Linked DNA regions of Anolis sagrei. The protein of the gene in region 1 interacts with the protein of each later gene in a pairwise test. Links are inferred from orthologs where the notes say so. Each region holds a gene or a part of one and is shown in the gene's direction. Other genes may lie near its edges. The genes, in order: SNCAIP and NUB1.

Region 1 (15,215 bases):
TTACTTATCAGTCTGTTCCTTCATTGAGTGGAGCTGTGATCTTTTGGCTCATTGTAGGTTCAGCGCACAATGTTTGCCTCCCAAAAGCCACATTAATGGATTATGAGATGGGGTAGGCTCGTACTGACAGAAGGTTGGTCTAGAGCTGATAATTGATATTTCTCTCTTTGGGTGCATCTACTCTAGAATCAATGCAGCTTGACACCACTTTAACTCCGGTTTTTTTTTCTTTCTTTTTTTTTTCTTTTTCTTTTTAATCTCTGTGTTTGTTTTGCTCTGTTGGAATTGTAATACAATGGTTGCTGATGACACGATAAATAAATACCACTTTAACTGTGATGGTCTAATTCTACAGAATCATGAGAATTGTAGTTTTGCAAGGGCTTTAGCTTTGTTTGCCAAAGAATGCTGGTACCTCACCAAACTACAACTCAATTGATTCCATTGCATTGAGCTCCGGCAGTTAAAGTTGTCAGAAATATTTAAAAAATAACTAGGTATTTTTAATTACAAAAATGTGAGTCAAGCACTGAAAGGGTTAAATTGCTGCAGTGACTCAGCAAAAGCTGCAGTTCGATATAAGCATGGATGCCTGTAGCTTAGTGGGCCTCAGGCCGTGAGAAGGCCTCAGTGAATGAGGAAGGCCTCAGTGTTGCACTCCAGGCCAAGAAAGCCCTCTGACTTTAAATACCACACAGCTGAATAGAAATGCAAGCAGTTTATTGTAGATATTTTAAAAGCAGTAGCTTTACCATAAAAATAGGTAAATCCAATTAGGTAGAAAGATAAGCAGGAACCAATAATTCAGGGAATTAGTCCATCAGAGTTCATGAAAAACAAATTCAGAAACGTCCAAGGTAAAACTCCAAAACTTGAATCATGAATCAAAAAGGCACTTAACATGTGAATCTATCCAGGCAAGGCTTCCAAGGACCAGGAAAGGTGTCTTGACTCAATTTCAATGATGCTTAATCTGAACTACAGATTCTGTACTTGGCACTTTCATGCCCTAATTTACTCATTGTCCCAAGCAGCCAGGAACGGGTTTCGTTTCAGCTTTGACTCTGTTATCAGTCTCTCTCTGAGACTGGCAGAATGCCTAAGAGATTGGGTTTTTTTTATCTGTAATGACTAAAAAACATCCCTTCTATCTACTGGCTCATTAATTTCTGCCACTGACCCAGGTGCCGAGCTATTCTCAGGCTCAAAGTCATGTGAATTCTCTGGTAGCAATTCAGGCCCTCTTCCAGGAACCATACTATCATCCCCAAACCTTTCAGGAACATTCTCATCAGAAAAGACACTTCAAACAGGAATCCCGTTTGTCATTCTCTACACCAATAGCAACCTCATCTTTAGATACATGAACCTCATTGTCATTCCCAATATCCAAATTACCCTGAACAATAGACACAATCACAGACTGAACTCAAATACTCAGTGTGAGAGGCCCTAGTGTGAAGGCCTGGTGTGAGAAGCTTCAGTGAGAGAAGCCCCAGGTGTAAGGCCTCATGTGTAAAGCCCCAGTTTGAAGGCCTATGTGTAAAAAGCTATTGTGTGAAGCTCCTGTGTAAGTTCAATGTGAGGGAAGGCTCTGTGAGAGCGAAGCTAGAAGCTGTTTATCTGCATGAGAAAGAAGCCCAGTGTGGAAGCAAAGAAGGAAGTATAAAGGACTTTGTGTTATAGAGACCTTGTTTTTGTAAATAGTGCAACCATATTATTTTGCTATAAAGACTCCAGAGGAAGAGATAACATTGGTCTGTGTTTTTGTTCTGTTCCTCGCTTTTGACTACTGGTGCTGGGTCACGCTGCTACTAATTAAATTACTCTGCTATACGTTTATGAGGAGGGTCTTTTGTTAATAAGCCCACTTGACCAACAAAGATGGTGTCAAGCTGCATCAATTCTACATTGCAGATACACCCTTTTGATACTTACAGTAGCAAACATACTAGCAAGCAAGCTTATAAACATGCAAGCAGGTGAACTCTGTCTCTCTGTCTCTTTCCCTCTCACATACACACACACACATTTTAATGTGTAGATACAGTTAGCTTTAAACCTTCCCTCCAGTGTATTGAGTCCCTATTGTGCCCCTCCATGAAACCCAGTCGATTAGTGCTGGGAACAGCCGAGAACCCCCCTGCCAATCGTTGCGCTCCTCTGCTGTTTAATTAAATCACTTCATTTTCCCCAGACACATGGGTTTTCCAATGACATTCTGTGGATGCAGATAGCTAAGCCATTTCAGAGCTATGCCGCTCCAGCTTAGAAGCATTCATAAGCAGGGCTTTGCAGCTTATGTTATGTGATAGGTTTTTCCACAATATGCTCTGGTGCATCGATATACTGGAGGCACACAAACCTGACTGCGTACATAAAAGTAGAACAAAAGGCACAGAGAAGTGTAGCAATGAATGTAATGTTTCCTGCTCTCCTCATTTCTACAGCATTTTCATAAGAAAGAGGAAACAGGGCAGGTCCTACCCTTGAGTGAGACAGGAGCCTCAGGCAGCAGATGCTGAATGTCACAAAAGGGCAGCAAATGGTATGCTCCTGTGGTGGCATTGTTGTGTACCTTCAAATCATTTCTAACCCATTGCCATTCTAAAGTGAACCTGTCACGGGGTTTTCTTGGTGGGATTTGTTCAACTTTGTCATTGCCTCCTCCTGAGAGAGTGCATTTGCATGAAATTGCCCAGTGGGTTTGTTGGCTAATCAGGGATTTGAATCTTGGTCTCCAGAATTGTAGCCCAACACTATTCTGGGTTGCTGTGAGTTTTCTGGACTGTATGGCCATGTTCCAGAAGCATCTCCCCTGACTTTTTACCCACATCTATGGCAGGCATCCTCAGAGGTTGTGAGGTCTGTTGGAAACTAGGCAAGTGATGGTTATATGTTGTTGTGGTTGTTTATTTATTCAGTTGCTTCCGACTCTTTGTGACCTTATGGACCAGCCCATGCCAGAGCTCCCTGTCAGCCGTCACCACCTCCAGCTCCTTCAGAGTCAAGCCAGTCACTTCAAGGATACCATCCATCCATCTTGCCCTTGGTCGCCCCCTCTTCCTTTTTCCTTCCATTTTCTCCAGCATCATTGTCTTCACTAGGCTTTCCTGTCTTCTCATGATGTGGCCAAAGTACTTCATCTTTGCTTCTAATATCCTTTCCTCCAATGAGCAGTCGGGCTTTATTTCCTGAAGTATGGACTGGTTGGATCTTCTCGTGGTCCAAGCACTCTCAGAATTTTCCTCCAAAACGCAGTTCAAAAGCATCTATCTTTCTTTGCTCAGTCTTCCTTATGGTCCAGCTCTCACATCCATAGGTTACTACAGGGAACACCATTGCTTTAACTATGTGGATCTTCGTTGCCAGGGTGATGTCTCTACTCTTCATGATTTTATCAAGATTGGCCATTGGTTATACACCTGTGGAATGTCCAGGGTGGAAGAAAGAACTCTTGTCTGTTGAGGCAAGTGTGAATGTTGCAAATGGCCACCTTGAATAGCATTTAATGGCATCGCAGTTTCGAAGCCCCACTGGTTACTGCCTGGGGGAATACTTTGTTGGGAGGTGTTAGCTTGGGAGGTGTTAGCTGATTGATTCTTGTCTGGCATTCCCCTGCTTTTTGAGTGTTGCTCTTTATTTACTGCCCTGATTTCAGAGGGTTTTTTTTTTAAATACTGGTAGCCAGATTTTGTTGGTTTTCATGGTTTCCTCCTTTCTGTTGAAATTATCCATATGCTTGTGGATGTCAATGGCTTTTCTGTGTAGTCTGACATGGTAGACTACACAAAGTAACAAAGGATTCTCCCAGGTAGGAAGCAGTCAGGCTTTGAAGCTGCAAGGTCATTAAATGCTAATCAAGGAGGCCATTTGCAACATTCATACTTGCCTCAAGCAGACAAGAGTTCTTTCTTCCACCCTGGACATTCCGCAGATATATAAACTTCACTTGCCCAGTTTCCAACAGACCCTCCAACCTCTGAGGATATCTGCCAAAGATGTGAGCGAAACATCGGGAAATAAGGCTTCTGGAACATGGCAATAATAATAATAATAATAATAATAATAATAATAATAATAATAATAATAATGGCAGCAGCACTTTCTGCCACATATGCCAGATAACAACGTGGTAGGCTTTAACTACTGTTTGGGTGGCTTGTGAAGAGTTGTTTTATTAGTTTCTTCTTGCAGCTTGCATGGGAGAAGGTCCAAAAGCAAAATGGCAACTTGTTGAAAAGTGCAATCTTTCGGAGCAATCTTTCAGAGGACATTCTACTAATGACACTCGTGTAGGCGGGAGCTGTGTCTGACCATATCGGGAGCCATTCTGAGGGGTGAGAGTGAATCACTCAGGAAGGAGAGTGCCATGTGGAAGCATCCGAGGCCACACCACGTTGCCAACCGTTTCGCCAGAAGGATATTTTGGACACAGTCCAAGACCGTCATTTCCTCACAGTCGAGGGCAGGCTGTCATCTCTTGGAGGAGGCCCACACGTCCTTAATTAAAACACAGGGAACGGCGCTCGATCCTGCTAATTAGGTTTGGAGGATGTCTTCTGTTTGAAGGGGATGCCTCATTCCCCAGAATAGTGCAGCAGTGACTTCACCGGAGGGAATCCACCTCCTTTCCTTTTGGAACCCCACGAGTCCCTTAGAGCTGCAGGAAGAGAAATGAGTTCTCCATTGGGTAACCCTCGTCTCATTCATAAATCCTGCGGTCGACAGGAATAAAGATGATAAATATGTCACACTCGGTGAGGATTTTAATACATTTAGCGCTTCACGGGGGGAGGGAAGATGTACAACAGACTGCACCAGGAAAATAAAATATGGGAAGGGGGAGATTTGTAAAAAGCAGTGAAGGGGGGGGGGCAGATAAGAAGGGGATGCATAACAGAGAGAACCAGGAAGAAAAGGAGGAATATTGACGAGAAGCATAAAAAGGACCAGGAAAAAGGGGAGCATATTGGTGAAAAGCACAAAATGAGGGGAGGGAAATGGATAGGAGAGAACGTATAACAGACTGAACCAGAAAGAAAAGGGAGGCGGGAATACTGGTGAAAAGCACAAAAGAGGGGGACAGAGACATGCATAAAAGACTGGACCAGAGGGGAAAAGGAGGGATATTAGTGAAAAGCATGGAATGTAGGTGGGGGGGACAAATAAGGGGGAAGGGGGAGATTATAACAGACTGGAACGGGGGAATAGGGGGGAATATTGATGAAAAATCCTGAAACGGGCTAATAATGGGGGGGGGGGGCAGTGAACCGCGAAAAGAGGATGTTTGGTTACTGTGAGTTTTCAAGGCTGTATAGCCATGTTCCAGAAGCATTCTCTCCTGATGTTTCACCCACATCTATGGCAGGCATCCTCAAAGATTGTGAGGTATATTGGAAACTAGACAAGGGAGGTTTATATATCTGTGGAAGGTCCAGGGTGGGAGAAAGAACTCATGTCTGTTGGAGGCAAGAGTGAATGTTGTAATTAATCACCTTGATTAGCACTGAAAAGCCTTGCAGCTTCAAAGCTTGGCTGGTTGCCCCTGGGGGAATTCTTTATTGGGAGATGTTAGCTGGCCCTGATTGTTTCTTTTCTGGAATTCCTCTGTTTTTGAGTGACGTATTTTTCTTTACTGTCCCAATTTTAGAGTTTTTTTTAATACTGGTAGCCAGATGTTGTTCATTTTCATGGTTTCCTCCTTTCTGTTGAAAATGTCCACATGCTTGTGGATTCAGTGGCTTTTGTGTAGCGTGACATGGTGGTTGTTAGAGTGGTCCAGTATTTTTGTGTTCTCAAATAATATGCTGTGTCCAAGTTGGTTCATCAGGTGCTCTGTTATGGCTGACTTCTGAAGTAATCTGTAGTACTTCTGACTTCTGAAGTAATCTGTAGTGCCTCACATATTCCCTCATAGCTTCCAACCCAGGATTCCCCCATAGAATCAGTAGAATGTTATCCATCAGTCCTGCTTGGAGATAGAATCATAGAATCAAAGAGTTGGAAGAGACCTCATGGGCCATCCAGTCCAACCCCTGCCCAAGAAGCAGGAAAATTGCATTCAAAGTACCCCCGACAGATGGCCATCCAGCCTCTGCTTAAAAGCCTCCAAAGAAGGATCCTCCACCACACTCCCTCTGGGACAGAGTTCCACAGTCAGGAAGTTCTTCCTAATGTTCAGATGGAATCTCCTTTCTTGTAGTTTGAAGCCATTGTTCCATTGCGTCCTGGTCTCCAGGGCAGCAGAAAACAAGTTTGCTCCCTCCTCCCTATGACTTCCTCTCATGTATTTATACATGTCCTTTATCATGTCTCCTCTCAGCCTTCTCTTCTGCAGGCTAAACATGCCCAGCTCTTTAAGCCGCTTCTCATAGGGCTTGTTCTCCAGACCCTTGATCCTTTTCATCGCCCTCCTCTGGACACATTCCAGCTTGTCAATATCTCCCTTCAGTTGTGGTGCCCAGATGGGAATCAGCTAGGCTCTGAAGCTGCAAGGCCATTAAATGCAAAATGCTAAACCCTTCCCTGCTCTTTCCTTCCCTTCCTCTTCTCTTCTGGAGGCAGAAAGTGAAGGAAAGACAGGAAACATTTGGATCCCAAAGGGGTTGGTCTTGGTCAGGATTTGATGTGGACAGGAGAGAAAAAGTGTATCCATTCTGTATTGCCTACTCCTGATACAGAATCCTAGAGTTGAAAAAGACCCCCAGGGGCCATCCAGTCCAACGCCCTGCCATGTAGGAAGGTACAATCAAAACACTCCCAATAGACAGCCTCTGCGGAAAAGCCTCCAGAGAAGGAAACTCCACCACACCACGAGGCAGCCTATGCAACTCTCCAACTGCTCTTACTCTCAGGAAGTTCTTCAGTGGAATCTTTTTCCCTGCCATTTGAACCTACTGCTCCCTTGTGCCCTGGTCTCTAGAGCAGTAGAAAGTCAGTTTTCCCCCTTCTTCTCCTCCTCAGTGAGACACCCGTTAAAATCTTGAAACATGGTTCTCAGGTTCCCTCTCCACCTTCCCTTCTCCCAGCTAAACATCCCTCAGGAGGAAAGGAGGAAGGAAAAAGAGAAGGAAGGAAGGAAGAGAAGGATGGAGGGAAGGAAGGGTGGAAGGAAATGGAGAGAGGGAGAGAGGAAAGAGATGGAAAGAGAAGGAAGGAAGGTGAAAGAGAAGGAAGGGGGAAGGAAAGAGGGACTGAAGGGTGGAAAGGAAAGAAGGATGGAAGGAGAAAAAGGCAAGTAAGGAAGGGAGGGAGGGAGGGAAGAAGGAAAGAAAGAGAGAAGGAAAGAGGGATAGGATGGTGAGAGAGAGGAAAGCCCCCCCCCCCCCCCCCCCTTGGCTTATCCATATCTGGTTTAACCCATTGATCCACTGGGGACATTCTGGCCATCAAAGCCTTGGCCAACACAGGGAGGGATGTTGTTGAAAAGTGGGGAAAGGGGGAGAGGGAGATGTATTACAGACTGGACCAGGAAGAAATGGGGAGGTGGACATTAGTGGCAAGCATGGAAAGACCTAAGGGGAGTGCCAAGAGGGGAAATGCCTAGCGCAGAAAGGGGAGGGGGAAGGGAGATGTATAAAAGGGGAGGGGAGCATTAGGGTCAAGCATGGAAAGTGTGTGTGTGGGGGGGGGGGGGGAGGAGGAGAGAGACAGCTAAGGGCTGAGTGCCCAGCCAGAAGGGGATGGCGAGGAGTAAGTGTCAGAGGATGGAGAGAAAGCGTGGTTCGGACTCACCCACGTGGGGAGCGTGGCAGGAGGAAAGGGGGGCGTGAAAGAGAGAGAGAGAGAGAGGAGGAGAAGGAGGAAGAAGAAGAAGAAAGGCAAAGGGGGAGACTAAGAGAGAGAGAGAGCGAAGGAATGCGTGTCGGAGAGGAAGAGACGAGGGAAGCCCAGAGAAAGAGCGAGGGTTGTGTGCGGTGGGAGTCAAACCCGAAGTGTGCGTGCACACGAGAGAGGGAGGGAGGGAGGGAGGGCGGCGTGTGTGTGTCTCAACACTGAGGAGGGGTCTTGCGGAGGAGGAGGCGCGGAAAGGGGAGGGGGTGCAAGTCATGTCAGCATCCAGCTCGTCAGCTTGCCTCGCTTGGAGTAAACCAGCGAGGTCCCCTGCCCCTTCACCATCGCCTTCTTCATCCTCCTCCTCCCTCCGGGCCTCCCTTTGAAGTCACGTGCTTCACCCCCCCCCCTTTTCCTCCTTTCCTCCTCCTCTTCGGCAGCAGCCCCCCGAATCCCCGCGGTGGGGAATGGCCTCGGCTTCATTGTGACGCAAGCAAGGCGAGAGAGAGAGAGAGAGAGAGAGAGAGAGAGAGAGAGCCGGCGCTGGTCCCCGAGCCTCCTGGCCCGGCGCGCTCCCCTCCAGCCAGACGGCAGCAGCCCGGAGCAGGAACCGAGAGGCGGAGGCAGAAGCAGCAGGAGCTCCCCGGCGGCGAGGTGAGCTCCGCTGAGTGCCACTTCTCCCTCCAGGCAAGGCAAAGCAAGGCAAGTTTTGGAAGGGACCGGGCTGGGTCGGGACTCCCGGGCGGCTCTGCTGCGGGCGCGGCTGGGCGAGGGCTCCACCGGGAGGTCTCTATAGTAACGCTGCGGCTCTACTAGACATGCGGGTCCCTGGAACAGCCCCTCGGGTAGCTGAGGGATCTCCCTCGCCTCGCCTGGTCGGGGAGCGCCTTTGCCTTTGCCTGCCTTCCAGCCAAGAGGCTTTGGGGAAGTCTGGACGCCCCGAATGGGATAGAGACACCGTCGGAAACAGGGAAGAGGTGTGTCTGTCTCCCTCTCTCTCTGTCATATAAATATGTAAAAACAGATGGAGAAAGAGAGAGGCTTATAGGGTGTATCTATGCTGTAGGACAGGCATGGGCAAACTTGGGCCCTCCCGGTGTTTTGAACTCTAACTCCCACAATTCCTAACAGCCTCAGGCTGAGGGGGGAAAGGAAGGGGCCTGAGGCTGTTAGGAATTGTGGGAGTTGAAGTCCAAAACACCTGGAGGGCTGAAGTTTGGCCATGCCTGTTGTAGCTGTACTGAACATCTCTCTTTCTGTATCTGTGCATGTGTGTGAGAGACATACTCAGAGTACATCTACACACTGCAAGAATCAATGCAGTTTGGCCCCTCTTTCACTGCCATGGCTCAATGCTGTCGAATCCTGAGGCTGTTAGGAATTGTGGGAGTTGGAATCCAAAACACTTTGAAGGCTGATTTTGAGTGGATCTACACTAGACATGGGCAAACTTCGGCCCTCCAGGTGTTTTGGACTTGAACTCCCACAATTCCTAACAGCCTCAGACCCTTTCCTAAGAAACTGAGGGGTGGGGGGAGGAAGGGGCCTGAGTCTTTTAGGAATTGTGGGAGTTCAAGTCCAAAACACCTGAAGGGCTGACGTTTGCCCATGTCTACCATAGAATGAATGCAGCATGACTCCATTTTAACTGCCATGGCACAATGTTGTGGAATACTGGGAATTGCAGTTTTACAAGGTCTTGGAATGAGAGAATCATAGAGTTGGAAGAGACCTTGTGGGCCATCCAGTCCAACCCCTTTCTGCCAAGAAGCAGGAAAATCACATTCAAAGCACCCCTGACAGATGACCATCCAGCCTCTGTTTAAAAGCCTCCAAAGAAGGAGCCTCCGCCACACTCTGTGGCAGAGAGTTCTCCTGCTGAACCGCTCTTCCTCATGTTCAGGTGGAATCACCTTTCTTGTAGTTTGAAGCTAATGCTCCTTGTCCTAGTCTTCAGGGCAGCAGAAAACAAGCTTGCTCCCTCCTCCCTGTGACTTCCTTCACATATTTATACATGGTCATCATATCTCCACTCAGCCTTCTCTTCTGAAGACTAAACATGCCCAACTCTTTAAGCCTCTCCTCATATGGTTGTTCTCCAGACCCTTGATCATTTTAGTTGCCCTCCTCTGAACACATTCCAGCTTCAATTGCAGTGCTCAGAACTGGAAACAGTATTCCAGGCATGGTCTAACCAAAGCAGAATAGAGGTAGCATGACTTCCCCGGAGTTAGACACCAGACTCCTATTTATGCAGGACAAACTCCCATTGGCTTTTAAAGATGTTGCTTGACATTGTTTGGCTCATGTTTAACTTGTTGTCCACGAGGACTCCAAGATCTTTTTCACACGAACTGCTGTCAAGCCAGGCGTCCCTCATTCTGTATCTTTGCATTTCATTTCTTCTGCCTCAGTGGAATATCTTACATTTATCACTGTTACAGGGTGCATCTATGCTGTAGAACAGCCCTGGGCAAACTTCAGCCCTCCAGATATTTGGACTCTAACTCCCACAATTCCTAGCAGCTGGTAGGTTGTTAGGAATTTTGGGAGTTGGAGTCCAAAACACCTGGAGGGCCGAAGTTTGCCGAGGCCTGCTTTAAATAAATGCAGCATGGCTCCACTTTAATTGCCATGGCTCAATGCTGTGGAATCCCGGAAGTTGCAGTTTTACAAGGTCTTCTCTGCCAAAGGGTGTCATCCACACCATAGATTGAATGCAGTTTGACACTACTTGGAATTTCCACAATGAAATACTACAGGACTCAAGGAAGTTGTAGTTTTCCAAAGTTTTTCCTGCGCATAGTACATGTCTATGCTATAGAATGAACACAGCTTTACACTGCTTGAACTGACAGGGCTCAACACTATGGGGCCCTGCAGTTTCAGGAGGCACTCATGCTCTTTGGCAGAGGAAGCTGAAGAGCTTGTAAAACTACAACTCACAGAATTCAACAACATTGAGCCATGGCAGTGAAAGAGGGGCCAAACTGCATTGATTCTTGTAATGTGTAGATGCACACTGCAAGTGTCTCCCTCACACACACATGTACAGATACATACAGAAAGAGAGAGAGATTTTGAGTGCACCTACACCAGACATGGCCAAACTTCAGCCCTCCATGTGTTTTGGACTCCAATTCCCACAATTCCTAACAGCCTCAGGCCCTTTCCTTTTTGCCCTCAGCCTGAGGCTGTTGGGAATTGTGGGAGTTGAAGTCCAAAACACCTGGAGGGCCCAAGTTTGTCCATGCCCGATCTACACTGAATTCAGTTTGACACTCTCTCACTGCCATGGCTTAATGCTGTGGAATCCTGGGATATGCAGTTTGATGTGGCACCAGCCTTCATTGGCAGAGAAGGTTTATTAAAACTACAACTCCCAGGTCCCATAGCATTAAGCCATGGCAGCATACGCGGCGTGCAACTGCTCTCATTCTACAGGGTGTGGATGCACCCCCATAGGGAGCCAGAATAGATGTGTCCTTCCCTAGTAGAGGGTCAATGTAATTCCAGAGCCCAGGCAGATCAATCACCTCCTGGGAAATAAAGATGCGGAAGCTGCTTTGAATCACCTGTGTGTGTACTGAATCCCACCTAGAAATAAGCACCGCTTTGGAAAAGGAGGGGGAGGTGGGATGAATCTCTGCCTGATTTCAAAGGAAAATCACTCAGGTGGGAGCCCCTTTCTTCCCACCTCGAGGTGTAACTCCTGTCCCTGACATCTTCTCAGCCGCCTTTCTCTTGGGTCACCCTTGTGTCAAGAGCCTCTTTGCAGCCTCTGCTGGAATGCTGGCTTTTTCCTTTTAGCCATTTAACTTCCCATCGTTCTCTCTCTCTCTGTGATCTTTTCTTTCTTTCTTTAAGACCTGCAAGGTAGTGAGGACAGTTGAACCAGTTGCTTTTGTCAAAATGCCATGTTGTGTCTATTTATGCCTTTGAACATAAAATGGGGGAGGAAATTGGTGGCAGATATATATATATATATATATATATATATATATATATATATATATCTCAACCCTAGTTTCCACAGGAAATGCTGGCATTCTTTACAGACTCTCTGTGGGCAGTGAAGAAATTGTCTTCAGAAATACACACTGTTGACAATTTCAGTGTAACTGGAGCAAAAGCCTTGAATGTTATCTTTGTTTTTTTTCTCTTGTCTTGCTTGCATGAGGGTGATGCGGTCGCCCTGCTGTTGTTTTCTGCTTGCTGGGTTTTCAAAGTGAGCAATAAAAACGTAAGCAGACTGTGGTTGACAGGTATCCATCAGAGAACCAGAAAGAATAAAAGCAAAGGAGCAGCCAGCTTTCTTAATGAAACTCGGGCTGGCTCGGAATGGCTTTATTAGTATTTTAACCATATAGCATGATGTCAGTTCTCTCAAGTGCCATGGTGAGATTTGTTTCAGTGCCATTTCTCCTTGAAACATGAACCCAGTGGAAATTTCTCTTTTCAGTGCTGGGAAACATGCCTTTGAATGTTGCATATATTCAGCTTACACATTTTAGAATTTAAAGCAAAGTGGAAATAGATTTCCTTCTGTGATTAAAAAAAAGGAAAAGATGTTGGCACAAACCACCACCTCTAGTCTGGTGCCTGGTTACACTCATTTAAAACTCCATGTGTTCTGCATGTAACTAAGCAGAGATTTGCCACTTATCCAACATAAACGGAGCGGCAGAACGTTGGATAAGCAGAAATGTTGGATAATAAGGAGGCATTAAGGAAAAGCCTATTAAACATCAAATTATGTTACGATTTTACAAATTAAGCACCAAAACATCATGTTTTACAACAAATCATCAAAAACAGCAGGGTTTTTTTTTCATGTCAGGAGCAACTTGAGAAACTGCAAGTTGCTTCTGGTGTGAGAGAATTGGCCATCTGCAAGGACGTTGCCCAGGGTGTTTTGATGTTTTACCATCCATGTAGGAGGCTTCTCTCCTTTCCCCACATGGGGAGCCAGAGCTGACAGAGGGAGCTCATCCGCACTCTCCTTGGATTCGAACCTGCAACCTGTTGGTTTAACCCACTGCGCCACCAGCACAAGGGTTTAACCCACTGCGCCACTGGGACTCTAAGAAAAAGTAGTTCAATACATGGTAACAATATGGAGTAATTACTGTATTTACAAATTTAGCACCAAAACATCACAATGTATTTAAACAGCTGTGGATCTGGGCAGGAGGCAGACTTTGTTGGATAATACAGAATGTTGAATGAGCGAAGGTTGGATAAGCGAGACTCTACTGCATATCCCAGAGAAGTCCTACTTTCTAGATTCCACTTTAATGTGTTGCTCCTTATCTACATTGCCTGCATAGTTTAGTTCAAGGGAGTTTTCCCATTGGAGTTAAAAACCTAAGATGCTCAAAGGAATTAGCAGTGAATGCTCAGATGAGTCAGAAAGGAGGTTGACACTATTATGCCATATTTTATGTAGCCCAGAAATTGAGTGTGATGTATCTGTCAGGCATGTTCTCAAGGACACCTAGAGTAGATTAGTTGCTGTTCAACATATTTCACTACCCTGTTGAATTCAAAAAGTGTGTCAAAGATCTAGGTCAGCTTTCTCCAACTTAGTCCCTTCCAGATGTACTGCACAATAAGTATTCTCATGCTTTAAATAACATGGTTACTGACTACATTACTAGGAATTGCTGGGATTTGTAGTCAAATGGTCCTGAAGCTTTGGGGCAGGCATTTCTTGATCTTCCAGAATATAACTATGCCGGGGAAGTATTTTAAATTATGTACGAGATTGTAACTATTAACCAGAAGGAAATGACTAAATTTCAGATTGATTCAGAATGAATTGTTGGCTTGGAAGCACTTTCCTTCACAAGCAAGATCAAACTCTGGATTACAGTAGAGTCTTGCTTATCCAACATAAATGGGCCGGTAGAACATTGGATAAGCAAAACGATAATAAGGAGAGATTAAGGAAAAGCCTATTAAATGTCAAATAATGTATGATTTTACAAATTAAGCACCAAAACATCATGTTTTACAACAAATCGACAGAAAAAGCAGTTCAATGCACTGTACCATTATGTAGTAATTACTGTATTTACGAATTTAGCAGCAAAACATCACAATGTATTGAAACAGCTGTGGATCCTGGTGGGAGGCGGACTGTGTTGGATAATATGGAACGCTGGATGAGGGAAGGTTGGATAAGTGAGACTACTGTATCATCATTTTGGAACTACAAAGATTGATCAGCAATCACAGGGCTGGGTTGCTGTGAGTTTTCTGGGCTGTATGGCCATGTTCCAGAAGAACTCTTTCCTGACATTTCGCCTGCATCTATGGCAGGCATCCTCAGAAGTTGTGAAATCTTTTGGAAACTAGGCAATTGGGGTTTATATATCTGTGGAATGTTCATGGTGGGAGAAAGAACTATTGTCTGTTTGAGGCAGATGTTAATGTTGCAATTGGTCACCTTGATAAGCATTGAATAGCCTTTCAGCTTCACAGGACTATTTTCTGTTTTTCTGTGTTCTTTTACAGCATGCCTCACTTATTTGAGTCCATCACTCATATGATATGTTTGCTTTTGTTCCCCCCTTCTGCCAGTAGCACATAGTTGATTTGGATGATGTTCAGTAGTTGTTGGCTCTAGAAAAAAGATGTCACCAAGCAAAGTGCTGGACCACATGATTTACAAATTCATTCCAGTCCAATGATCCTTGGTTTCTGTTTTATAATCATATGGTTGGGTTTGGATGTGGGAATTCCAGGTTTAGATCTCTGCTTGGCTGTGCCGCTCAGTGTGTGTGTGGCATCTGGTAAGCCACTATAGCTCTACCACCATCATAAATAGAGCCAAACTGCTGTAGGGCAGTGCGATTGATCCAACCTTGCTCACCACTAAACAATTTTGATGAAAGAGGTATTCCACAGATGAGGGAACATTTTGTCCTGAAGACATTTTGCATGGCAACTCCACCAATGCCATATCATTGTCCATGCTGCCTGGGGCATCTGGAAGCTGTCAAAACATGTGGGTAGGAGATTGTCCACTCTGATTTACCTTATGCTTCTGAGTCCAGTGTGTGTGCAGTTATGATTCTCTAGTCTACCCCACCCATTTATCTGAATTTAAAGTCAAATATCCAGTGAATTCTCATTTTCTACGTGTATAAATTAACTTTACCTTCTTGGCAAGAGTATTTGTAATTATAAAACAATACTCTGAAGCATTTGGAAGCCAGACAAGGCACTGGTGCAATTAGTAGAAGTAACTGTAGCAGCAAGAGTTATCTGACATGTATGCCTTAATTAGATGTGGGGACAGTTTAGATCCCTAATACTGTTACCCACAACAGCAGGAATCCATTTGCTTGCTTGTCTTCTAATGTGATAAATGACATCCTCTCTCAGCAGTGCCACTCTGCACTCTACATTGGGCAAGCAGGACAATCTCTATG
Region 2 (16,073 bases), on another chromosome or scaffold:
TAGTTCTTTGCATTTCTAATTTGTAAAAAAAGAAGTACTAAATCCAACAAGCTCAAATTTTATCCACACGTCTGATAGCAACTTTTATTCTTCTAGGACAGCGTTTCTCAACCTGGGGGATCACGAGGGCATGTCAGAGGTTGCCACAGACCATCTGAAAGCACAGTATTTTCTGATGGTCATGGGGGTTTTGTGAACTATAAATCCCAGTAACTACAACACTGAAATGTCAAAGTCTATTTTCCCCAAACTCCACCAGTTTTCAAATTTTGGCATATTGAATATTTGGTCCAGATCTATCATAGTTTGAGTCCACATTGCTCTCTGGATGTAGGTGAACTACAACTCCAAAACTCAAGGTCAATGCCCACCAAACCCTTCCAGTATTTTCTGTTGGTCATGGGAATTCTGTGTGTCAAGTTTGGTTCAATTCCATCGTTGGTGGAACTCAGAATGCTCTTTGATTGTAGGTGAACTACAAATCCCAGCAACTGCAACTCCCAAAAGACAAAATCAATCCTCTCCCCCAACCCAAACAGTATTCAAATTTGGGCAAATCGGGTATTTGTGCCGAATTTGGTCCAGTGAATGAAAATAAATCTTGCATATCAGATATTTACATTACAATTCATAACATTAGCAAAATTACAATTATGAAGTACCAACGAAAATAATTTGATAGTTGGGGATCATCACAACATGAGGAACTGTATTAAGGGGTCATGGTATTAGGAAGTTAGAGAACCACTGTTCTAGGACACAACCAGTAGTGTGTTTATTGACTCACTATGTAACAAAATTTGAAAAATGTTCTGTTCCTGGTTTGAAAGTGTAATTCCTGTTCAGTTGTGCAGTACTTGCTTTGAAAGTAGTTGTTATACTCCAGAAACTTCATCTTTGTGGCTGCCACAAACTATGTTGAATTGGTCGAGACTCTGTGAGATCTTCATTGGAAAACTATAGCAAAATGTGCTGAAGAATGTCCTGCAAAAATTAAAATTTTGCGGTTTACTAAACCTTTTCCACGTTTTTATAATAGAACTAGTTAGGAAATGACATTTATAACCCAAGAATAAAAATTGCATTACATAGTGATATCTGCCATCAGTAACCATGATAAGTAGCAATCTATTCACACTTATTTGAGAGCAAACTTCATTAAGCCAATTGAAATTCATTTCTGAGTAAAAGATAACAACATAATCTGAAAGTGATCACATTCTAAATATAAGATAGAAGGATATGTAAACACTGATTTAACTAAAACATGCAAGCAGCAACAACCAATCACTTTAAGAACCTCTGAACTGGCTCAGGTTCACCTTGAAGTTTTACTGAATGTCAAGGCAAAAGGCAGCCATGTGAAAACAAAACAAATAGCTCTTCCTGTTCCTAGATTTTAATATGTAACTAAGCGAGAATGTCGCTCTCTGTGTTAGTAATTATCAAATTGTGTCATCGTGATCCTTTCTAAACAGCTTGACATATTATGTATCATGATGGACAGCTTCTGTGTTCTCCCCAGTTGTGTACATAATATGAGAATATGTAATTAGCTTAAAAACAAACAAACTATGATACAGCAAACTTCAGACATGAAGCTGATAATCTTAGGTAGCTAGTGCAATTATATATGTGTAATATGAGCAAAACATCTGCCCTACATGCACAATACATACATAAGTATCCAGATAGTTACTGGTTTTTCAGAAGGAAAAACACCCTAGCAGCAGCAAAAGATCTACTGGCTTATGTATTAATTTCATACCATTCGGCCTCAGTAAATGACTCCATGTTCTCCTCTTGTGGATTAAGAAATAGAGAGAGAAAAATCCCATTTACTTTCTCCATATTCTAATGGTGCATACATGTTTTTACATCCACAATGTACACATTTCTTCTCTTTTGTTTATAAATCTTCCCACTTTTGTTTGGTCTTTATTACTTTTGTTTTCTCTTTACTACTGCTTAGAATCTATTCCCCGTTTTCCAATGAAAAAATGTCATTTTTCCCCACAGGTGATGACGAGACCATTGCTAAAGAATCTATGGTCAACCCTGTTATAATTAACAAGAAAGCGAAAGGGGGGAAAGCATCCAAAGAATGGGTTCCTGTCAAAGAAGTCTGCCTTGATCTGCCCCTTGGTGAAAACATACAAGATAGTTCACCATGGAGGATACACCTAGAGCTCCACCGCCTTGAACAAGGAGAACAAAGAAAAATAATCCCTTGTGATGTTCTGCAAAACAAGAATGAACAAGTTGACATTGGCAGAAAACTATCTCAGGAGGAAAGTGTGATATGTGAAGAATCATTAACAAGTTGTGAACAATCCATGGGGCTCCTGAGTGAGCAGGAAAATCCAAGCCCTGTTGAAAAGACATATAACTCCAATCCATCTTTCACACCAGTGACTTGGACACATTCACAAATGTCAGCCTCAAAACTGGCACCATCATCCAATAAGTTGCCCTATTATCCTTTCCCCCAGAAAAAGACTCGCAAGATTTCTGAAGCTGCCAGAAGACTTGGACTGTATGTTTCCCAATGAGGAGCCAGGTTCTTCCATCTGTAAGGAGGGAACTGTATGTTCAGTTCTGTTGGATATGGGCAACCGAATCGGGAACGATAGCAAATGTAGAGGCACCATGCTTTAATAGCTAGTCTGTGTTCCCAATTAAGACTAGTAATCGAGGAGATTATAATTACAATAGTTCTATTCTGCAGAAGTAACTAAGGAGCGAGTCCTGTGCCTGTGCAAAGTACCACACAGAGCAAGGCAGCAGTTTTATACAGAGGTTTTTGAAATCCACACACAACACAACACCCAGGAAGGAATATAATTCCCTTCAGAACTGTGAGCTGTTTTTATATGTATTATAGAGCAGTTGCTGTTGCTGTTGTTGTTACAAAGCTCTTCCATCCTTGCTTTTGGCTCACCCTTCCCTCCTCTGAGGTGCTGTCAGTATACAGCAATTTAACAATTTAGCTAAAAATTAGCAGTTTGATGCAAAGCAATTAACAATGGTTATTTATCTTTAACACCAGCCTCTTCAGTAATGATGACACCATACACCAGAAGATAGGATTAGAATCCAAAATAACTTTAACTGATTGGAGAATCTGTCCAAAACTAACAAAATTAATTTTAACAAGGAGAAATATTTGTACAGTACCACAGCTAGGCAATAAAAATGAAATGATCAAGGGTGTGGAGAACAAGCCCTATGAGGAGCAGCTTAAGGAGCTGGGCATGTTTAGCCTGAAAACAGAAAGTTGAGAGGAGATATGATAGCCATGTATAAATATGTGAGAGGAAGTCACAGGGAGGAGGAAGCAAGCTTGTTTTCTGCTGCCCTGGAGATTAGGACGTGGAAGAATAGCTTCAAACTACAAGAGAGGAGATTCCATCTGAACATGAGGAAGAATTTCCTGACTGTGAGAGCCGTTCAGCAGTGGAACTCTCTGCCCCGGAGTGTGGTGGAGGCTCCTTCTTTGGAGGTTTTTAAACAGAGGCTGGGTGGCCAACTGTCAGGGGTGATTTGAATGCAATATTCCTGCTTCTTGGCAGAATGGGGTTGGACTGGATGGCCCATGAGGTCTCTCCCAACTCTATAATTCTATGCTTCTATGAAATTTATATGGGATGGGTGACACTTGACTTAAAAACAGTCCCTGTGAAAAGGATTTAGGAGTCTTAGTGGACAACAAGTTGAACATGAGTCAATGGTGTGATGCAGCAGCTAAAAAGGCCAACACGACTCTAAGGGTGCTCCAAGACAGCACTAAATTACGGGTTTTAAACAGGGGCAAAAAAATCTTGGGAATTCAGAAGTAGTTGGTCCCAGGATTTCTGCCTCCATTATCCAGACTTGATGCTTTGTTGCAAGATTTAGAGGCTCCCAAGATGAAAACCTCAAGAGTTCTGTTCTTTGTCCTAGTAAGAGAAAATGTGCCCTGCACATATTTCATGAAGTTTCTGGCACACAAACAATTTTTTGCCTTCTACTCAGTTGTCACCTTCTTTTTAGGAACCAACCAATCAGGAACAAACATCTAAAACCCAGGAACAAACTCTAATAAAAATATCCCATGATTTCTGATTGCAGATATGCAAAGATCTGCATATTCGACTTAAAACAGCAATATTCCACACCAGGAAATCTCATGTTTTTTGCCTTTTGAAGTGATTGCTTCCGTGCTTACAGAGAATGGTGTCTGGCCACCCTCCTGTTTGTTGCGGAAGCTCCTGGGATAAAGATACTGTCTGGATGGGCACTAGGCTGCATCAGTAGCAGTATAGTGTAGAGATAAAGGAGTGATCTGTTTTGTTTTGTTCAGATCTGTTGAATGAAGCTTTGTCCAGTTCTAGGCAGCACAATTCAAGAAAGATACGGACAGGCTGGAATGTGTCCAAAGAAGAACAAAATGAGCTGAGCCAAATGTTGCTTTACAGCAGGCATGGCCAAACTTCCAGCAGTTGTGGGAGTTGAAGTCCAAAGTACCTAGAAGGCCCAAGTTTGCCCATACCTGCTTTATAGTGTAATCCTAAGTATCAACTAAGGAAAAAACTCAATTGAACTCAGTGGAATTCATAAACTGTAAGATTATGCTGTTAATTTGCAGACTGAAGTCACAATAAGTGATGCCAAATGAAGAACTATATTAATATGTACTGTTTTATGATTATGAATCCTCCTGCTAAATATATACCATTTGTATGCTATAGATTTTGAATTGCATTGTTCTCTTTAAATGCTGTGAGTTGCTGTGAGATAAAAGCAGGATATAAATAAACACAATAGCAATGCTTTGTGATATCTGGTCGCGTAACATTCCAATGAGCTTCCTATTACTATCAATCCTATTACACTATGTAATAAAATTTTGGGGGAAAAATCTGTTCCTAGTTTGAAAGTGTTATTTCCTCTTTAATTGTGTGGAACTTACTTTGAAAGGAGTCATTATACTCCAGAAACTTTATTTTTGTGACTGCCACAAACTAGGTTGAATTGGTTGAGACTCAATGAGCTATTCATTGAAAAACTAGAGCAAAATGTGATGCAGGATGTCCCGCAAAAACAAAGTATTGACATTCAATTACATCTCGCGTAGTAATAGCATTCTCACGGTACTTCTACACTGTTGAAGTAATACAGCTTGACACCACTTTAATAGCTATGGCTAAATCCTATAGGACCATGGAAATTGTCGTTTGATGAGGTGTCATCACTCGTTGGCAGAGAAAACTAAAAACCTTGTAAAGCCATAACATCCAAGATTCCATATCATTGAGCCATGGCAGTTAAAGTGGTGCCAAACTGCATTAATCCTACAGTGTAGATGAATCCACAGTTGTTCAAAACTTGCCATTCAAAAACACTCACAGGCACTAATTTATTTATTTATTTATTTCCTGCATTTATTAACCGCCGCTCTCAGCCCTAGGGCGACTCGTGGCGGTGTACAGCACATAAAAGACAATTTACAATAAGCCAAGACAACAGAACTAACATATTACTAATACACAACATCTAATTATACTAAAATAATCCGCTCCGTCTTATCATGGAATCATAATCAATCTCGTAGTCGTAATCCATTCCGGTTGTCATTTCCAGTAACATAGCACTCAGTTGAATGCCATCTCGAAAAGCCATGTCTTCAGGCCCTTACGAAAGGCCATAAGGGAGGGCGCCTGTCTGATGTCAGCAGGGAGGGAGTTCCACAGCCGGGGGCCCACCACCGAGAAGGCCCTAAGACAGAAGTTGTTGTTGTTTGTTGTTTATTTGTTCATTCGCTTCCGACACTTTGTGACCTCATGGACCAGCCACGCCAGAGCTTCCTGTCGGCCATCACCACCCCCAGTTCCTTCAGAGTCAAGCCAGTCATTTCAAGGATACCATCCATCCATCTTGCCCTTGGTCGGCCCCTCTTCCTTTCCCCCCAGCATCATTGTCTTCTCTTAGCTTTCCTGTCTTTTAATCATGTGGCCAATGTACTTCAACTTTGCCTCTACTATCCTTCCCTTCAATGAGCAGTCAGCCTTTATTTCCTGAAGTATGGACTAGTTGGATCTTCATGCAGTCCAAGGCACTCTCAGAATTTTCCTCCATCACAGTTCAAAAGCATCTCTCTTCCAGACAGAAATGGGTTGCTCTAAGTTTTCTAGCCTGTATGGCCATTTTCTAGAAACATTATCTCCTGACGTTTTGCCTGCATCTGGAACATGGTCATACAGCCCAAAAATCTTACAGCAACCCAGTGATTCCGGCCATGAAAGCCTTCGACAATACAAAGTGTTTGCAGTTTAATAAACTTTTCCCAAGTTTTTGTGATAGAAGCAATTAGGAAATGACATTGATAACCTGGGAAGAAAAATCATGTTACATAGTATTATTAATATACTATATAATATATATGTGTGTGTGTATATATATGTGTATATATATATATATATATATATATACACACACACACACACACACACACACACACACTAGCCGTCCCCTGCCATGCATTGCTGTGGCCCAGTCTGTGTATATGTGTGTGTATAAATTTGTGTATATGTGTATATATGTGGTTTAGCGCATGCGTTGTAATGTATTTTTTATTTTTTGGCTTTTAAAGTCTCTTCCGCTGTGTTTTTCAGAGTTTTAATGTGATGGTCACTCATTAACCTGATAAGAGCATTGTGTCCAAATTTGGTGTCAATTCGCCCAGTGGTTTTTGAGTTATGTGAATCCCACAAATGAACATTATATTTATTTATACACACACACACACACACACACACACATATAGGTAAAAGGTAGTCCCCTGACATTAAGTCCAGTTGTGTCTGACTCTGGGGTGTGGTCGTGTCCGACTCTGGGGGTTGGTGCTCATTTCCATTTCTAAGCCGAAGAGCCGGCGTTGTCCATAGACACCTCCAAGGTCATGTGGCTGGCATGACTGCATGGAGAGCCGTTACCTTCCTGCCGGAGCGGTACCTATTGATCTGCTGACATTTGCATGTTTTCGAACTGCTAGGTTGGCAGAAGCTAGGGCTGACAGCGGAAGCTCACGCTGCTCCCCGGAATGGAACTGCTACCTTTCGGTCAACAAGCTCAACAACTCAGCGCTTTAACCCACTGCACCACCGGGGGCTCCATATATGTAAATTTATAAAGATTTATAATAAACTAGCTGTCCCCTGCCACGCGTTGCTGTGGCCCAGTCTGTTGATCTGGAAAATAAAGCCATGAGAAAATGTTGGTTTCTAATATATGTAATTTATTTATGCTTGTGGGTAAACAGTATTCCTTGCTGTTTCTTTGATATCTGGTTTGCCTACTCTGGAACATCCAGCATATCATTATCCTTCTTTAGGGGTCCCTTTCAAATCTTTGATACTGAATCTGTCATATACATATATGTGTGTGAATGGCTGGGTGGCCCTTTGTCAGGAGGGCTTTGATTATGTTTTCTTGCCCTGGTGAAGGGAGTTGGACTGGATGGCCTTAAGGCAGCATTTCTCAACCTCGGGTTTGGGACCCCTGGGGGGGGGGGGTTGCGAGGGGGTGTCAGAAGGGTTGCCAAAGACTACCAGAAAACACAGTATTTTCTGTTGGTCATGAGGGTTCAGTGTGGGAAGTTTGCCCCACTTCTGTCTTTGGTGGGGTTCAGAATGCTACTTGATTGTAGGTGAGCTATAAATCCTAGCAACTACAACTCCCAAATGTCAAGGTCTATTTCCCTTAAACTCCATCTGTGTTCATATTTAGGCATATGGAATATTCGTGCCAAGTTTGGTCCAGATCCATCATTGTTTGAGTCCACAGTGTTCTCTGGATGTGGGTGAACTATAATTCCCAAACTCAAGGTCAATGCCCACCAAACCCTTTCAGTGTGTTCTGTTTGTCATGAAGTCCTATATGCCATGTTTGGTTAAATTCCATCATTGGTGGAGTTCAGAATGCTCTTTGATTGTAGGTGAACTATAAATCCCAGTAACTACAACTCCCAAATGTCAAGGTCTATTTTCCCCAAACTCCATCTGTGTTCATATTTGGGCGTATTGAGTGCTTGTGCCAAGTTTGGTCCAGATCCATCATTGTTTGTGTCCACAGTGCTCTCTAGATGTAGGTGAACTACAACTCCAAAACTCAAGGTCAATGCCCACCAAACCCTTCCAGTTTTGTCTGTTGGTCATGGGAGCCCTGTGTGCTAAGTATGGCCCAATCCCATCATTGGTGGAGTTCAGAATGCTCTTTGATTGTAGGTAAACTATAAATTCCAGCAACTACAACTCCCAAATGACAAAATCATAAATTTTTGAGTGATGGTTACACCTTGTGTTGTGAGACATTGTTTGGTGTGATTTCGTTCATTGGTTCTTTTGTTTCTAAGGAACTCATTATGCACAGATCATTTATATATATAATTGATAATGCATATAAATGTCCTAAACAAATAAATAAAACATAGCAAATGCCTAAATATGTTCCCAATGCTTATTTCTTTTATTTTTTAACATCATTTAGGAATTGTGGGAGTTGAAGCCCAAAACACCTGGATGCCTGCTCCAAAGGCATCTTAGGGTGCATCTACACTGTGGAATTAGCACACTTTGACACCACTTCCAAGTACTCAAATATTATGGATGATGAATGGTAGTTTTACAAGGTCTTTACCAATCCCAAGACTCCCTTAGCCTTGAGCCATGGCAGCCAAACTCCTATTCTTCCCAACATGCTCACACTACTACATCACTATAAGGCTATGCATTCCACTTTCCACTCCCCATACTGATCAATTCACCGAACGGCATGCTGGGAAGTGGAGTCCAGGGAAGCGGGCTTAGAACGCTCAGCGCGCCTGGCTCAACTACGAGACCCAGAACCCAACGGGGGCCTGAGTGGGCGGGGCGTCGCTCTGTGTGATCACGTGACGGCAGGCCATTCTCCCTCCCTTTCAGTTGGTGTGTTTTGGCTTTCGGTTGTGATGTGACGAAGCTTCGTCAGTCAGTCAGGAGGCGGGCAGGCCTGAAAGACACAGAGCAAGCTGGAGTCAAGCAGGTGAGTGATAGGAAGGGGAAAGGGGGACAAACAAGGCCTTCTTGAAGTCACAAGGCCTTGTTTATCCTTCTCCTTCTATTGGGAGGTGAGGTTTGGATACTCTAACACAGGCCTGAGCCAACTTGGGCCTTCCAGGTGTTTTGGACTCCAATTCCCACCATTCCTGACAGCCTCAGGCCCTTTCCTTTCCCCCCTCAGCCGCTTAAGCGGCTGAGGGGGGAAAGGAAGGGGCCTGAGGCTGTCAGGAATGGTGGGAGTTGGAGTCCAAAACACCTGGAAGGCCCAAGTTGGCCCAGGCCTGCCCTAGATACATCAGCACAGTAAAATGCTGTCCTTTATACAGATCTTGGGATATTTGGGGGATGTAACCCCCAAGTCAAAGTAACCCAAGTCATGTAACCCAAGTCAAAGCCTGGCATTAATTTATATCTCGTGTACACCAAATTGTTGTTGTTCATTCGTTCAGTCGTCTCCGACTCTTCGTGACCTCATGGACCAGCCCACGCCAGAGCTCCCTGTCGGCCGTCACCACCCCCAGCTCCTTCAAGGTCAGTCCAGTCACTTCAAGGATGCCATCCATCCATCTTGTCCTTGGTTGGCCCCTCTTCCTTTTGCCTTCCACTTTCCCCAGCATAATTGTCTTCTCCAGGCTTTGCTGTCTCCTCATGATGTGGCCAAAGTACTTCAACTTTGTCTCTAGTATCCTTCCTTCCAATGAGCAGTCGGGCTTTATTTCCTGGAGGATGGACTGGTTGGATCTTCTCGCAGTCCAAGGCACTCTCAGGACTTTCCTCCAGCACCACAGTTCAAAAGCATCGATCTTCCTTCGCTCAGCCTTCCCTAAGGTCCAGCTCTCACATCCGTAGGTGACTACAGGGAATACCATGGCTTTGACTAGGCAATGGATCTTTGTTGCCAGTCTGATGTCTCTACTCTTCACTATTTTATCGAGACTGGACATTGCTCTCCTCCCAAGAAGTAAGCGTCTTCTGATTTCCTGGCCACAGTCTGCATCTGCCGTAATCTTTGCACCTAGAAATACAAAGTCTGTCACGGCCTCCACATTTTCTCCCTCTGTTTTCCAGTTGTCAATCATTCTTGTTGCCATAATCTTGGTTTTTTTGATGTTTAGCTGCAACCCGGCTTTTGCGCTCTCTTCTTTCACCTTGATTAGAAGGCTCCTCGGCTCCTCCTCGCTTTCGGCCATCAGAGTGGTGTCATCTGCATGTCTGAGGTTGTTAATGTTTCTTCCAGCAATTTTCACCCCAGCTTTGCATTCATCCAGCCCCGCACATCGCATGATGTGTTCTGCATACACGTTAAAAAGGTTGGGTGAGAGGATGCAGCCTTGCCGTACGCCTTTCCCAATCTTGAACCAGTCTGTTGTTCCGTGGTCAGTTCTGACTGTTGCTACTTGGTCCTTGTACAGATTCCTCAGGAGAGAGGGAAGGTGGCTTGGTATGCCCATTCCACCAAGAACTTGCCACAGTTTATTATGATCCACACAGTCAAAGGCTTTGGAATAGTCAATGAAGCAGAAATAGATGTTTTTCTGAAACTCCCTGCCTTTCTCCATTATCCAGCGGATATTGGCAATCTGGTCTCTCGTTCTTCTGCCTTTTCTAAACCCAGCTTGAACATCTGGCAACTCTCGCTCCATGTATTGTTGGAGTCTTCCTTGCAGGATCTTGAGCATTACCTTACTGGCATGAGACATAAGGGCCACTGTACGGAAGTTTGTGCAGTCTTTCGCATTTCCCTTTTTTGGTATGGGGATATATGGGGTATGGGGACCAAATAGTCCAGTGGATTTTATTTACTAGTCAGATGTGAGCTAGGCAAAATTACGGTTAGATGGATCTGTAAATTGGTTAAGTGAACGAACCCAGAGGGTAATTCTCACCCAGGCTTCCTCTTCATCCTGGAAATAAGTGATAAGTGGAGTGCCTTTATTTATTTATTTAGCAGTTTTGTATACCGGTCTTCTCACCTCCATCGAGGGACTCAGGCCGGTTTCCAACAACAATATTACAACAATCATTAAAAACATCGTATTCCAGATTACACTAAGACATTAAAAACAAATACAATCATATAATTACAATGGTCAGTCGTCATCATAAAGTCATAAATCGTCGACATCCACCCATATCACAGGACTTGACTCATTCTTCGAATGCCAGTTTCCAGAGCCAAGTTTTCACCTGTTTTCTGAATGTCAAGATAGAGGGGGTCATTCTGATCTCCAGTGGAAGGGAGTTCCAGAGTCGAGGGGCCACCACCGAGAAGGCCCTGTCCCTCCTCCCCACCAGATGCGCTTGTGATGCTGGTGGGACCAAGAGCAGGGCCCCTCCAGGCGATCTTAGCAATCTTGATGGTTCATAGGGGAGAATACGTTCGGACAGGTAAACTGGGCCCGGTTCTGTCCAACATCTTTATTAATGACTTAGATGAAGGGTTAGAAGGCATGATCCTCAAGTTTGTAGATGACACCAAGTTGAGAGGGATAGCCAATACTCCAGAAGACAGAAGCAGAATTCAAAACCATCTTAACAGATTAGAGATATAGGGCAAAACAGATTAGAGAGAGGGCCCCTTCTATACAGCTGAATAAAATCCCACATTGTTTTCTTTAAACTGGAATATATAGCAGTGTGGACTCAGATAATCCATTTCAAAGCAGATATTGTGGGTTGTTGTTATTATTATTATTGTTGGATCCTCCTCTCGATGTTTGACATTGTCCTATCTCCCAGTGTTTTAAAATTTTATCCTGAATTTGGCCCTGGCCAGCTAAATCTTTTGTGTTTTAATGTCTGATTTTATATTGTTGTGTTGCTTATTACATTGTTTTGCATTTTATGTTTTTTGTGTTATATTGTTGTGTGTTATACTGTTGGGTGTGGCCTCATGTAAGCCTCACCAAGTCCCTCTGGGGGAGATGGAGCGGGGTATAAATAAAGTTTTATATTATTATTATTATTATTATTATTATTATTATTATTATTATTCTGCCGTGATATTCTGGGTTATATGGCTGTGTGGAAGGGCCAAAAATGAAGTTCAACGGGGACAAATGCAAGATACTCCACTTAGGCAGAAAAAAATGAAATGCAAAGATACAGCATGCCTGGCTCTTGGAGTCCTCATGGACAGGAAGGTGAACATGAGCCAACAATGTCCTGTGGCAGCAAAAAAGGCTAATGGAATTTTGGCCTGCATCAATAGGAGTCTAGTGCCTAGATCCAGGGAAGTCATGCTACTGCTCTATTCCGCCTTGGTCAGACCACAACTGGAATCACACTGTGTCCAATTCTAGGCACCACAATTGAAGGGAAATGTTGACAAACTGGAATGTGTTCAGAGGAGGACAACCCAAATGATCAAGGGTCTGGAAAACAAGCCCTATGAGGAGTGGTTTGAAGAGCTAGACATGTTAGCCTGAAGAAGAGAAGGTTGAAAGGAGACATGATGAGGACAATGTATAAATATGTGAGAGGAAGTCATAGGGAGGAGGGAGTGAACTTGTTTTCTGCTGCCCTGGAGATTAGGATGCGGAACAATGACTTCAAATTACAGGAAAGGAGCTTCCACCTGAACATTAGGAAGAACTTCCTGACTGTGAGAGCTGTTCAGCAGTGGAACTCTCTGCTCCAGAATGTAGAGACTAGGACACAATGGAGCAATGGATTCAAATTGCAGGAAAAAGGTTTCCACCTAAACATTCAAAAGAATTTCCTAATAATGGTAAGAGCTTTTCGGCAGTGGAGTATTCTACCTAGGAGTATGGTGGAGGTCTTTATACAGAGTATTCCTTGGGCCAAATACAGAAAATCATTATAAAAACAATAGCATAGATGTTACACAAGTGGTTGAGATATTTTGCAAGCTTTCCCTAGCAAATCATGTTATGGAAACTTGGGTGCATCTGCTTTACTAGTTTCCTTATGAAGTCACCCCCCTTTTTAAATTTGCTCATGTTATGCTTTCACAATGTATTTTGCTTTCTTTCCCCCCCTCTCTGTGGCCATGTGATAAATGTGTATGAACCAAATACTACTGAAAGCAAAACTAATGAATCTGTTTTACTGCCACGTCCCAAGCAGCAGATGGCAATGTTTAAAGATCTTTGCCAGATCTTCTAGCAGCCGTAAAATGAATCTTTAAGAGGCTCCACATCGAGGTCTTTTTACAAATAGTTTTATTTTTCTCCTTTAATTTATTCTGGTTTTCTGGAAGAGAGGATTCCTTCTCTCCCCGTCACCAGCTGCTTGGGAATCCCTCCGTTCCTCAGTGAGCTTTGCTTTCTGTTTTCCCGATTTGGCTCAAAGAGAAATGGCGATGCCAAGCGAGAAGGCTACAGATTTGGCTGAAAGGGGCTTTTGTGGGGAAATTGAACAAAGCTAAGCCACTGACCTTCTGCTTATCCATATGGTACTGATAGTGAAAGTCTATATGAAGGAACCAGGAGTTGCTTTTCCTGGCTTCCTACTCATATCAGAACTCCAGAAATACCAAAATATTGGTCGGCTTTCATTGGCTACATCTGTAAAACCTGGCAGCAGCTCCGGCTGTGCTGAGATCCTTGGCAGATGCTTAAATGTGGCAAACATGGTGGAGATGGCAAGGAGAAGCAGTGACAGCTGTAGTCCTTAGACCACTTCCTCTTCAGGATGGTGGATTTTGCTCCAAAAAGCGATTTAAAGATTGCTGTCTTTGAAACCTTCATTTTCATCTTGTTTGTGCCAAACTTGTCAACAGGTCTTTTAATAGTAGCTCTGAAGACTTCTGTAGGTGCTTTGAAAATCTTTGTTTCTTCATTACTTGAAGATCTAACATCTCTTTCTCTGTTTATTTGACTATATTCTCAGTTAGATATTCTTTTTTTCCAATAAGCACAAGATTTTTTTTTCATGTCAGGAGCGACTTGAAAAACTGCAAGTCGCTTTTGGTGTGAGAAAATTGGCCGTCTGCAAGGATGTTGCCCATGGAAAGCCTGGATGTTTTGATGTTTAACCATCTTTGTGGGAGGCTTCTCTCATGTCCCTGCATGGGGAGCTGGAGCTGACAGAGGGAGCTCATCCACACTCTCCCCGGATTCAAACCTCTGACCTGTTGGTCTTCAGTCCTGCCAGTATACGGGTTTAAATCACTGGACCAGAAGATGAGGTAGATAGACAGTTCATCTCCTCACAAAAAAGCCCTGCAAAGGATGTCAGGTTGAGAGAGTGAACGAAGGTCACCTGAGTTTCATGGCTCAGTCAGGTATTGAGCATGAAACCAATACATTTTAGTCTATCATATAAACCACCATATTATGCTGATTCTAATTTCATTCTTAGGTTTCATTTCACCAGGTATGTAAAGCCTTGCTAGGATTTAAATTTGATTAGATTTGTGCAATAAAATAACTATTATTTTAGTAAAGAGACGGAGCTGCGTTTGACCCCAGCATCTGTTAAATGAGCATTTTATCTGTTAATCCAATTTACAAGTGCACGCATTAGACTCTTGCCAGAATATGATTTTAACCTGTCAGGGGCTTCTTATAAAAATGGTTTACATGAGGAGAGCAGTTATATGAGCAAATAAAAACATCATGATAAATCATTAGCAAACATCTGTTCCATATTTATTGATTATTTCTTACTCAGCCTCAGATGAATGTTGTGTTTGCTTGTATAATGTTCTTTATGACTTCCATTTCATTTTTATTTTCTGCTAGAAATATGCTTGGCTGGCAGCCTGGAGCTTAAACTTTATTGATACCAGAAATATAAAGCATCATAATTTAATATTGTTATAAGAACAGGCCAAACAAAGATTGAACAACATTACACTCTTTCACAACTGTTGCATCCCAGGAGAGATAAGGTCTAAGTCACTTGTAGCTTTCGTGATAGTCACTTTTAAAGAGGCATAATCTTCTGCATAAATACAATCTCCTAACCAAGTTCCAAGGAGACTTATTCTTTATGTTTCTACCACATTTGGCGGGAATAGTTAATGACAGAATTCCTAGTTTCAATAATAGAGTTGGAAGAGACACAAGGGCCACCCAGTCCAGCCATTTAGAAACATTCAGAACTTTCCCATGTTTCAAAAACTGCTTCCACTTTGTAAAATCAAGAAATGCCTTGGGTGGCCCTTGGCTCTTAACTCATATGGCAAAAGGATCTTTATTAGGTGTGCTGTGTTTTGGCCTTATTACTATATTTTAAATGTGTTTTAAACCATTTCAGCTTTGAGCACTTAAAGCGAGAACAGCTTTAGGTTGTTAGATTATTAATACTGTAATAGGAATAAGAATAAAGTATTAAAGAAAATTGATACCCTCCTCTCCTCATGGCTCAAAGTAGATTAAAAGACATTATCATGAAATGCATGTGTGTGTGTGTCCACCCCCCTCGCAAGCGCAAATGGTGGGGACAAGAGACAGGCCCTTCTCTGTGGTGGTCCCTTGGTTGTGGAACACCCACCCCAGTGTCATTAGGCTGGCCCCATCCCTCCTGGTCTTCAGGAAGAGGTTAAAGACCTCTTTAACAGGCATTTAGAGAATAGGATAATACAGAATCACCCCCAACAACTTGAATAATGACCATGAGAAAGTCAATGTGTATTGAAACCAAGACTTGGCACTTTATTATGTTTTAATCAATGATATTTTAATGTATTGTCGAAGGCTTTCACGACTGGAATCACTGGGTTGTTGTAGGTTTTTTCGGCTATATGGCCATGTTCTAGAGGCATTTCTCCTGACGTTTCTCCTGCATCTATGGCAAGCATCGTCAGAGGTAGTGAGGTCTGTTGGAACTAGGAAAAAGGGTTTATATATCTGTGGAATGACCAGGGTGAGACAAAGGACTCTTGTCTGCTGGAGCTAGGTGTGAATGTTTCAACTGACCACCTTGATTAGCATTTGATTGCCTGGCAGTGCAATCAAATGCTAATCAAGGTGGTCAGTTATAATTCACAGATATATAAACCCTTTTTTCCTAGTTCCAACAGACCTC

What was found.
Region 2: the proteins of SNCAIP (region 1) and NUB1 interact in a two-hybrid assay, tested with the Homo sapiens proteins (2 studies listed by BioGRID). The link is inferred for Anolis sagrei from reciprocal best matches to the Homo sapiens genes SNCAIP and NUB1.

Annotation. Positions count from the first base shown.
Region 1 is NC_090022.1:240,219,710-240,234,924, reverse strand, and holds the start of SNCAIP (synphilin-1), read left to right. Parts: upstream 1-7,679; 5' UTR 7,680-7,695; intron 7,696-7,775; exon of another isoform or gene 7,776-7,939; intron 7,940-8,011; exon of another isoform or gene 8,012-8,216; 5' UTR 8,217-8,478; intron 8,479-15,215. UniProt on the Homo sapiens protein: Isoform 2 inhibits the ubiquitin ligase activity of SIAH1 and inhibits proteasomal degradation of target proteins. Isoform 2 inhibits autoubiquitination and proteasomal degradation of SIAH1, and thereby increases cellular levels of SIAH.
Region 2 is NC_090026.1:122,453,885-122,469,957, reverse strand, and holds the start of NUB1 (NEDD8 ultimate buster 1), read left to right. Parts: upstream 1-8,914; 5' UTR 8,915-9,060; intron 9,061-16,073. Other genes in the region: C6H9orf152 (uncharacterized protein C9orf152 homolog), read left to right, coding at 2,020-2,552. UniProt on the Homo sapiens protein: Specific down-regulator of the NEDD8 conjugation system. Recruits NEDD8, UBD, and their conjugates to the proteasome for degradation. Isoform 1 promotes the degradation of NEDD8 more efficiently than isoform 2.